Linked DNA regions of Oryctolagus cuniculus. The protein of the gene in region 1 interacts with the protein of each later gene in a pairwise test. Links are inferred from orthologs where the notes say so. Each region holds a gene or a part of one and is shown on either strand. Other genes may lie near its edges.

Region 1 (3,473 bases):
AGAGCTGGGGCCCCTGGGCAGGAAAGGCCGGGCAAGGCTCCTTCCTCAAGGGCCGGGCGGTCAGGCCCTGCTGAGAGGCGCCGAAAGAGCACTGGGCGGACACGACATTCCCGATGGCTTCCTGGGTGCCCACTCAACGGGAGTGATCGTGTCATTCCAAAGCGCTTTCCATGCCGAGAGCTCACGACTCACAGGCAGCGACCGGCGAGGCTGGGGGCCCAGGATCGAACCGGGGACTTCAGTTACTCTCCGTCCACAAAGACGGTTGGGGTGGTTTCTCCCCAGGAAGTGGAGGGCTATCTTTAGTGAGCTGCGGGCTGAGGCGGCCCTGGGGGACTCACCAGGGCCACTCACTCATCCCTCTTCCTTGCAAGGCCTAACCGGAGGCCCCAGCCCCAGCTCTCCCGCTTCTAGCCCGCACCCGAGAGACGGACGGAGACCAGGGCCCCCCAGCGCGGTGTGTCTGGGGGGTGTCAGGGGCTACCCAACCTGGGCCTGGGCGCTGCTCAGGCAGGAAAGCAGGGAACGAAATCCAAGCGCAGCTGGAATGCTCTGGAGACAACAGCTGCTTTTGGGATTCCGTTGCCCGCTGTCCAGCCGTTGGAGTGGGGCTCCTGCCCCCAGGTCACTCACCCTAGGGCCAATCCAGAACCCGCCCATCCTACGTCCCAGGAGGCGGACCTGGGAGACAGTGAAACCGAGTCCAGTGGGAACGAGGCGCTCACCTGGGCCCCAGAACAATAGCAGGGAAGGACCGGGCCTCCCCTGGGATCGGGTCCCGATCCGGATTAGATCCGAGGGCAGGATTAGCCCTGTTGGTCCCACGCAGCCCGGGGCCACTGGTGCGGTGACGCCGGGAGGGCGGGTTTCAGAATCTGCCAAGAGGGAAGCGCGGGGCCAGGGAGGAAGTGAGCCCGCGCGTCCGCCTTGGGGACACCCCCGCGCTCGGGGCCCTTTGTCCGGTGACGCTGCCAGCGCCCAGGAGCGCCAGGAGCCGACCGGGCCCACACAGCGATGGCGGGACCCCCGGCAGGCCACTGCGACCGCTCCTGGGACTCTCGCCGCCCAGGCCCCTACTGTGCCGACCCTCTCCCGCCCGCCCGGCCGGCCGGCCCCACGGCTAGCGAACGCGACAAGGTTCCCCCGAGGCTAAGACGGAGCCGGCGCGCGGAGATGCCCAAACCCGGCGCGGGCGCCACCACTCGCTCCTGTAGGCCCTTGATGCGGATCGAGACGGGGTGCGGGGCAACCTCGGGAAGCGAGCGGAGTGAGCGAGGACACGACGATGCTCCGGGCGCTGTCTAGTTCAAGTCTGGTCCGGCTCGGCCCGGCCGCTCCCCACCGAGCAGGCTCAGCAACACTAAAACGCCGTGCCCTTCCGCTGGCTCCGGCTGCCCCGCAGACTTGGAGCCATTTTATGGCGAAACTGCCTGGCCACGCCCCCTCGCGCTCTCGCGAAGCCAATCCCCGCGCGGCCACGCCCCCCGCAGCGTGCGGCGCCGCCGCTAACGGTCGCGCGGGTGACGGTTGGGGAGGGGCGTGGCTGCGAGTCTGGCCGGGGAAACCTGAGCCGTCCGCCCCGCCCACGGAGCCGGGCGCCCCAGAACCTGAGATTAGGGGCTTGGAGGTTGGCGCCACGCCCTGGCCAGGTGTGCAGGACCCGGCCAGGTGCGGCCCCGCCCCGCTCCGGGTCCCCGGAGCCCTGCGTCATGTCTGAGAGCCCGCACTACCAGGTGCCCGCACTCCCCTGGGACCGGCGGCCGGGGCGACAGGTGCGGACACGAGAGCCGCGCCGGGGACACGTGACGCCGGCGAGGGGGGCTGGCAGAGCCGCGACGCGCCCTCCGGACCGCAGGAGGCGCTGTAGTCTCGGCGGACCAGGCCTCGCCGCGACCCCAGCGGTCCTGCGTCCGACCCGCTCGCGGCGTGCGGGGCAGCCATGGCCGCCGCTGTCGCGCTGCGCTGCCTGTCCCGAGTGAAACCCACGCCGCGCTGTCCGCTGCCATGGTGAGCCCAGGCCCCACGCCCCCGAGCACGCTGCCCGCCAGGGCCAGCGGCCCCCTGACCCTCCGCCTCCGCAGGGCACCGCGGCGTGGGCACCGGCTCTCGCCGGCGGATGACGAGTTGTATCAGCGGACGCGCATCTCTCTGCTGCAGCGCGAGTCCCCGCACGTCATGTACATCGACAGCTACAGCAGCCGCGGCTTCACGGTCAACGGCAACCGCGTGCTCGGACCGTGCGCGCTGCTCCCGCACTCGGTGGTGCAGTGGAACGTGAGCCTTGCCCCGCACGCCCGCCGGTGTCCCTGGCTAACTGGGCTCGTCCCTGTGGCCCCGGAGTGGAGCTGGGGAGAGAGGGAGGCTGCGGCTTCGTCTGTCCTGAACCCGCCTCCTCCCCGCACAGGTGGGATCCCACCAGGACATCACTGAAGAGAGCTTCTCCCTCTTCTGGATGCTGGAGCCCCGGATAGGTACGGGGGGAGGGGGGGTGCGGAGGTCTGAGCGCTCCGAGCCCCCGGAAAGCCACCCGCACCCCAGCTTCACAGCAGACCCGGTTGTGGACGAGCCACGCCCTGCCTTCCCTAGAGATTGTGGTGGTGGGGACCGGAAACCGGACCGAGCGGCTGCAGCCCGAGGTACTGCGAGCCATGAGGCGGCGGGGCATCGCCGTGGAGGTGCAGGACACGGTGAGTGCCGGCCCCGGGGCGCGCTGCGGCGGGGCTCGGGCCTTGCCCTGGCCAGGCTGATGCCGGCCTTTTCTCTACAGCCCAATGCCTGCGCTACTTTCAACTTCCTGTGTCACGAAGGCCGGGTGACGGGAGCCGCTCTCATCCCCCCGCCTGGAGAGACTTCTGTGCTGCCTCTGGGCCAAGCTGCAGAGTGAACCGCCGGGAACCGAAGCACCTCCCCTCCCCGAGGGCCCTGGTCCTCCCCCTTCGGCACTAAAGCCCTTGATTTGCTTGCTAGCGTATGAGTAATTTATACCCCCATTTTGTATCAGGTGTGTTGCTGGCCAGGGATCGATGGCTACGTGGGTTTCAGTTGGCGTGTGTGTGAGGAAACCGGAGGCTAGAAGGCCTTGTTTTGTTCTAGACCTTTTAAAAAAGAGCTTATTTGAAAGGCAGAATCAGGGAGAGGCGTAGTCCATCCGCTGGTTCACTCCTCAAATGACTGGAAGGGCCAGGGCTGGGCCCCACTGAAGCCAGGTGCCCAGATCTCCATCCAGGTCCCCAGCACTGGTGGAGGGACAGCGCTCCCAGGCACATCAACATGACAGAAGAACAGCGTGCATCATGGGACGCCTGCGTGACAGGCAGCAACTTGACCTGCTGCAAGGCCTCTGCAGATCTGAGGGGAGGGACCCCAGTGGCTTTGTGTTCAAGATCCTTCCGGCTCCAGAGCTGCCAGGGAACGCCCTTTAAGATCTTTGAGGAAATTTATTAAGGCCTGATACATGGGGGTCCCTGGACGGG
Region 2 (4,200 bases), on another chromosome or scaffold:
AGTGGAAAGAACAGGTCTTCAAAGAGGGAGGTGCCTTTCTCTGAAGGGAGGAGAGAACCTCCACTTTGACTATGACCGTGTCTAAACAAGATAAGAGTCGGAGAACTCAAGGGGCTTCCATAGCCTTGGAAACTCATGACTGGTGCATAGGGAGATTACTGATGCCATAAACAGGAGTGTCAATTGGTAAAGTCAACAACAGGAGTCACTGTGCACTTACTCCTCATGTAGGATCTCGGTCCTTAACGTGCTGTACACTGAGGCTTAATGCTATAACGAGTACTCAAACAGTATATTTCACTTTGTGTTTCTATGGGGGTGCAAACGACTGAAATCTTTACTTAATGTACACTAAACTGATCTTCTGTAAAAAAAAAAAAAAAAAAAAAAAAAAAAAAAAAAAAAGAAAGAAATTTTCAATTCCCAACTTGACTCTCACTGGGATTAAACATGACAATAGGTCTGATCTGATTTCATCATCATTTAAAAAAAATCATCTATTATTTTTCACTTTATGTTTCTGTGTGGGAGCAAACTGTTGAAATACTTACTTAAGGTATACTAAGCTGATCTTCTGTATATTAAGATAATCGAAAATGAATCTTGATGTGAATGGAAGGGGAGAGGGAGTGGGAAAGGGGAGGGTTGTTGGTGGGAGGGACGGTATGGGGGGGGAAGCCATTGTAACCCATGAGTCGTACTTTGGAAATTTATATTCATTAAATAAAAGATAAAAAAAAAAAAAAAAAAAAAGTTTATACACAGCAAAGGAAATGATCAATAGAGTGAAGCCACATTCAACAGAGTGGGAAAGATATATGCAAACTACCTGTCTGACAAACAATTAATATCCCCAACATATCAACAACCTTAAAAACTCAACAACAAAAAACCAACCAATCCAGTTATGAAATGGGCAAAGGACTTCAATAGTTCTCAAAAGAAGAAACACAACTGACCAACAAATATACGAAAAATGCTCAACATCACTAGCCATCAAAGAAATGAAAATCAAAACCACAATGAGACATCACCTAACCCCTGTCCAGAAAGGCTATAGTCCAAAAGACAATAACAAATGGTGGCGAGGATGTGGAGAAAAGGGAACAACTTATACACTGCTGGTGGGAATGTCAACTAGTGCAGCCCTTGTGAAAAACAGTGTGGAGATTTCTTAAAAAACTAGAAATACAACTGCCATATGATCCAGCAATCCCACTACTGGACTTATAGCCAAAAGACTGAACACAATGTATCAGTAATACCTGCACCACCATGTTTATCACAGCGCTGTCCACAACAGCCAGCATTTGGAACCCACTAAGGTGTCCATCATCAGATGAATGGACAAAGAAAATGTGGTATATGTGTATACACACACACACACACACACACACAATGGAATATTATTCAGCCGTAAAACAGAATGAAAGTCTACCATCTGCAGCAAAATGGACTCAACTGGAGGACATTAGGTTGAGTGAAATAAACTGGACCCAGAAAGACAAATACCGCATGTTTTCCCTTTTATGTGGGCGCTACATTTTTTTAAAAATGTGTGTATCAGTATTGTTGCAAACAGTTTTGTAAAGCTTTGTTTTATGCCTTTGTCAAACCAGTGGTTAAGAATTCTATATACTACTACAGTTTTAATGATCTGTGATTACCTTAAAATTTACTGTAAATGGGTAAAATGGTCATGTTTCCATTATTGTTTATAACTATTGTCTATATTCCTACTAAACTGGGGTCTTTCTGCTTTTTACTTGTTAAACTTATTTGGTGAAGTATTAAGACTGTTTACTGTAATGTAATTTTAAAATGTCATCTCAAAACTAAAAAGAGAAGGAGAAAGGAAAGGAGGGAGAGAGTAAGAGGGGAATACCATTCAGTTCTTAGAATTGTATCTACAAATCACATCGGAAGGTAAAAACTAAACATTTACATTTCAAATAATTTTTTAAATACACATTACCTGCACGGTAGTCACAGGATCTGTGGAATCAACATACACATCTTTTAGTAACGACAGCAGCTTGTCATCTTTTCTAGCAATTTCTCCCTTAATTTCTGGATGGTCTGGGTGGAAAGAGAAGGAAAAGTCACAATATATGAAAGGCGAGAACTCCCTCAGATTCTAAAAGCACACAAAACAGTCACTTCAACTTCTTTTTAATAAACAATCTTTGGGCAGTTCAGGAAACCTTTTAAATCGACGTCAAAACACTAGGCCCTCAGGGCCCGGCGTCCTTCGTTCTGGGAAGACACCTGCAGCAGACCTGGCTGCACGCGGCCCCCTGCTCCCTTGGATTCTCTGTACCCAGTCGCCACGCATGAACCACCAAGGCCGGCCAGGGACTGTCCTCGCCGGTCTCCCGCCCCCGGGCGAGGACAGCGTCAATGTCACCGACCCGGCGCCTCCACCGTCCCGCGCCCTGCCCACCCGAGCCGCTGTGGCCGAGCAGGCGGACCTGCGGATCCAGGTCCCCGGGCGGAACAGCCCGGCCGGCCGCACCGGGACCCCGCGCCCCGACGCGCCCCCGCGCCACTCACGGCTCAAGTGTTCTCTGAGAAGACTCTTGGTGGAGGGGTGCTTGGGAGCGGGAGAGGGCTTCATCTTGCTGATTTCCCGTTCCGCTCGGTTCTCCAGGTTGAAATTCCTGATCGCCCGAACCACCTGAGCCCCCATCTCTTTAGGACATGATGTCCTTAGCTTCACTGCGCACGTGGGAAAACACCGGCGCGGACGACCTCTGGAGCGCACGGAGCATGCGCACGTATAGCGTCGAGCGGGCCGGGAAGCGAGTGCTAAATGTGCGCTCATCGCCCTCTCGTGGTCTGGAGGCCACACAGCGCGTTTCAGGCTCCATCGTTTCAAAGGGAGTGGCTCCTCCCCGGGACACTCGGGGGTGGGGCCTAAGGCCAGGTTTTCAACGTTGGAGCCCGTGGAGTCACGGAAGAAGATAAAACACAATTTCATGCTAGGCACCACTCCAGACTTATAACTCTCAGATTTATTTATTTATTTAACTTATTTAACTCTCACATTGAGCCCTGGCGTTAGTTAGGATTTCCCACGTGATTCCAATATTGCAGTCAAGAACTGAAAATCAAAGTCATGAGGAAATTGATTTTGAAGAAAAATAATGTAGGGATATTCATTCTTGATGAATATTCTGGGCCATTCTTCATTTCCTGTCCCGTTGCCTGATGCATTTCCAGCCACCATATTCCCTTTTTCCATTAGATTTCACATCCTACTCTCATAACTCATTTGACCTAAAGCTATTGATTTTAGTGTATGTTTTCTTTGCCCTCTGTATTTTTGTTACTAATTTATTTCTCCATACTATTAAATACTGAGTCTCCTAATTTTTCTCCAATGTTTCTTCTTTCGTCTGCCTCTCTCATTTTATGTACTTCTGGGAGAACTCTGTGTAACTTAATGAAAGAAACAGCCCGTACAGGGCTAGGGAAAACTGAGTGTTAGATTCATATTCTCTCTCTCTCTCTCTCTCTCTCTCTCTGTGTGTGTGTATGTGTGTGTGTGTCCTTCCCTCTATCCATCCATTTCTTTCTCTCCTTTCCATTTCTGGTACAATAGTGCTGCTTTTATTTAAGATTCTTGGGAAATATTGTGATTAATCCACAATAAAAGAAATCCACCAGGAAGAAAGCAGTAGTGTATCTAAAGTTAAAATATTTGGTATTTGAGAATAGCAAAACAAAACCTGGTTTTGGTATTCTCAGCTCTGCTTCATGAAATAAGGTAGATGGATTGTTTTTGGCCAATTTAAAGTGAGAAGAGAATTGATGTTAATTGAATCGGGACCAGCATTGGGGCACAGCAGATTAAGTTGCTGCTTCCAATGCCAGCATGCCCTATCAGAGCCCCATTTCAAGTTTTGGCTGCTCCACTTCCCAACCAACTTCTAATGCGCCTGGGAAAGCAGTGGAAGATGGCCCAAGTACTGGGCCCCTGCCACCCATGTAAGAGACCTGGATGGATTTCTTAGTTCCTGGCTTCATTCATACTCTCTCTCTCTCTCTCTCTCTTCTCTCTCTCTCTCTTTCTCTTTCTCTCTGCCTTTCAAATAAATAAATATCTTTTAAAAAGAGAGATAATTGAGTCAAAGCAGTGAAAAAATAAGAATCAAAGAGACAGTTTTAAGAAAACAGAAGTAATTATTAAATATAGTG

What was found. The genes of interacting proteins can lie anywhere in the genome.
Region 2: the proteins of NDUFAF3 (region 1) and NDUFAF4 interact in binary tests that used the Homo sapiens proteins (3 or more experiments, as listed by UniProt). The two-hybrid records come from large-scale screens. The link is inferred for Oryctolagus cuniculus from reciprocal best matches to the Homo sapiens genes NDUFAF3 and NDUFAF4.

Annotation. Positions count from the first base shown.
Region 1 is NC_091441.1:100,132,561-100,136,033, reverse strand, and holds NDUFAF3 (NADH dehydrogenase [ubiquinone] 1 alpha subcomplex assembly factor 3), read left to right. Parts: upstream 1-1,518; 5' UTR 1,519-1,939; coding exon 1,940-2,007; intron 2,008-2,081; coding exon 2,082-2,274; intron 2,275-2,404; coding exon 2,405-2,471; intron 2,472-2,586; coding exon 2,587-2,687; intron 2,688-2,767; coding exon 2,768-2,884; 3' UTR 2,885-2,966; downstream 2,967-3,473. UniProt on the Homo sapiens protein: Essential factor for the assembly of mitochondrial NADH:ubiquinone oxidoreductase complex (complex I).
Region 2 is NC_091436.1:75,154,937-75,159,136, reverse strand, and holds the start of NDUFAF4 (NADH dehydrogenase [ubiquinone] 1 alpha subcomplex assembly factor 4), read right to left. Parts: upstream 2,802-4,200; 5' UTR 2,690-2,801; coding exon 2,554-2,689; intron 2,080-2,553; coding exon 1,976-2,079; intron 1-1,975. UniProt on the Homo sapiens protein: Involved in the assembly of mitochondrial NADH:ubiquinone oxidoreductase complex (complex I). May be involved in cell proliferation and survival of hormone-dependent tumor cells. May be a regulator of breast tumor cell invasion.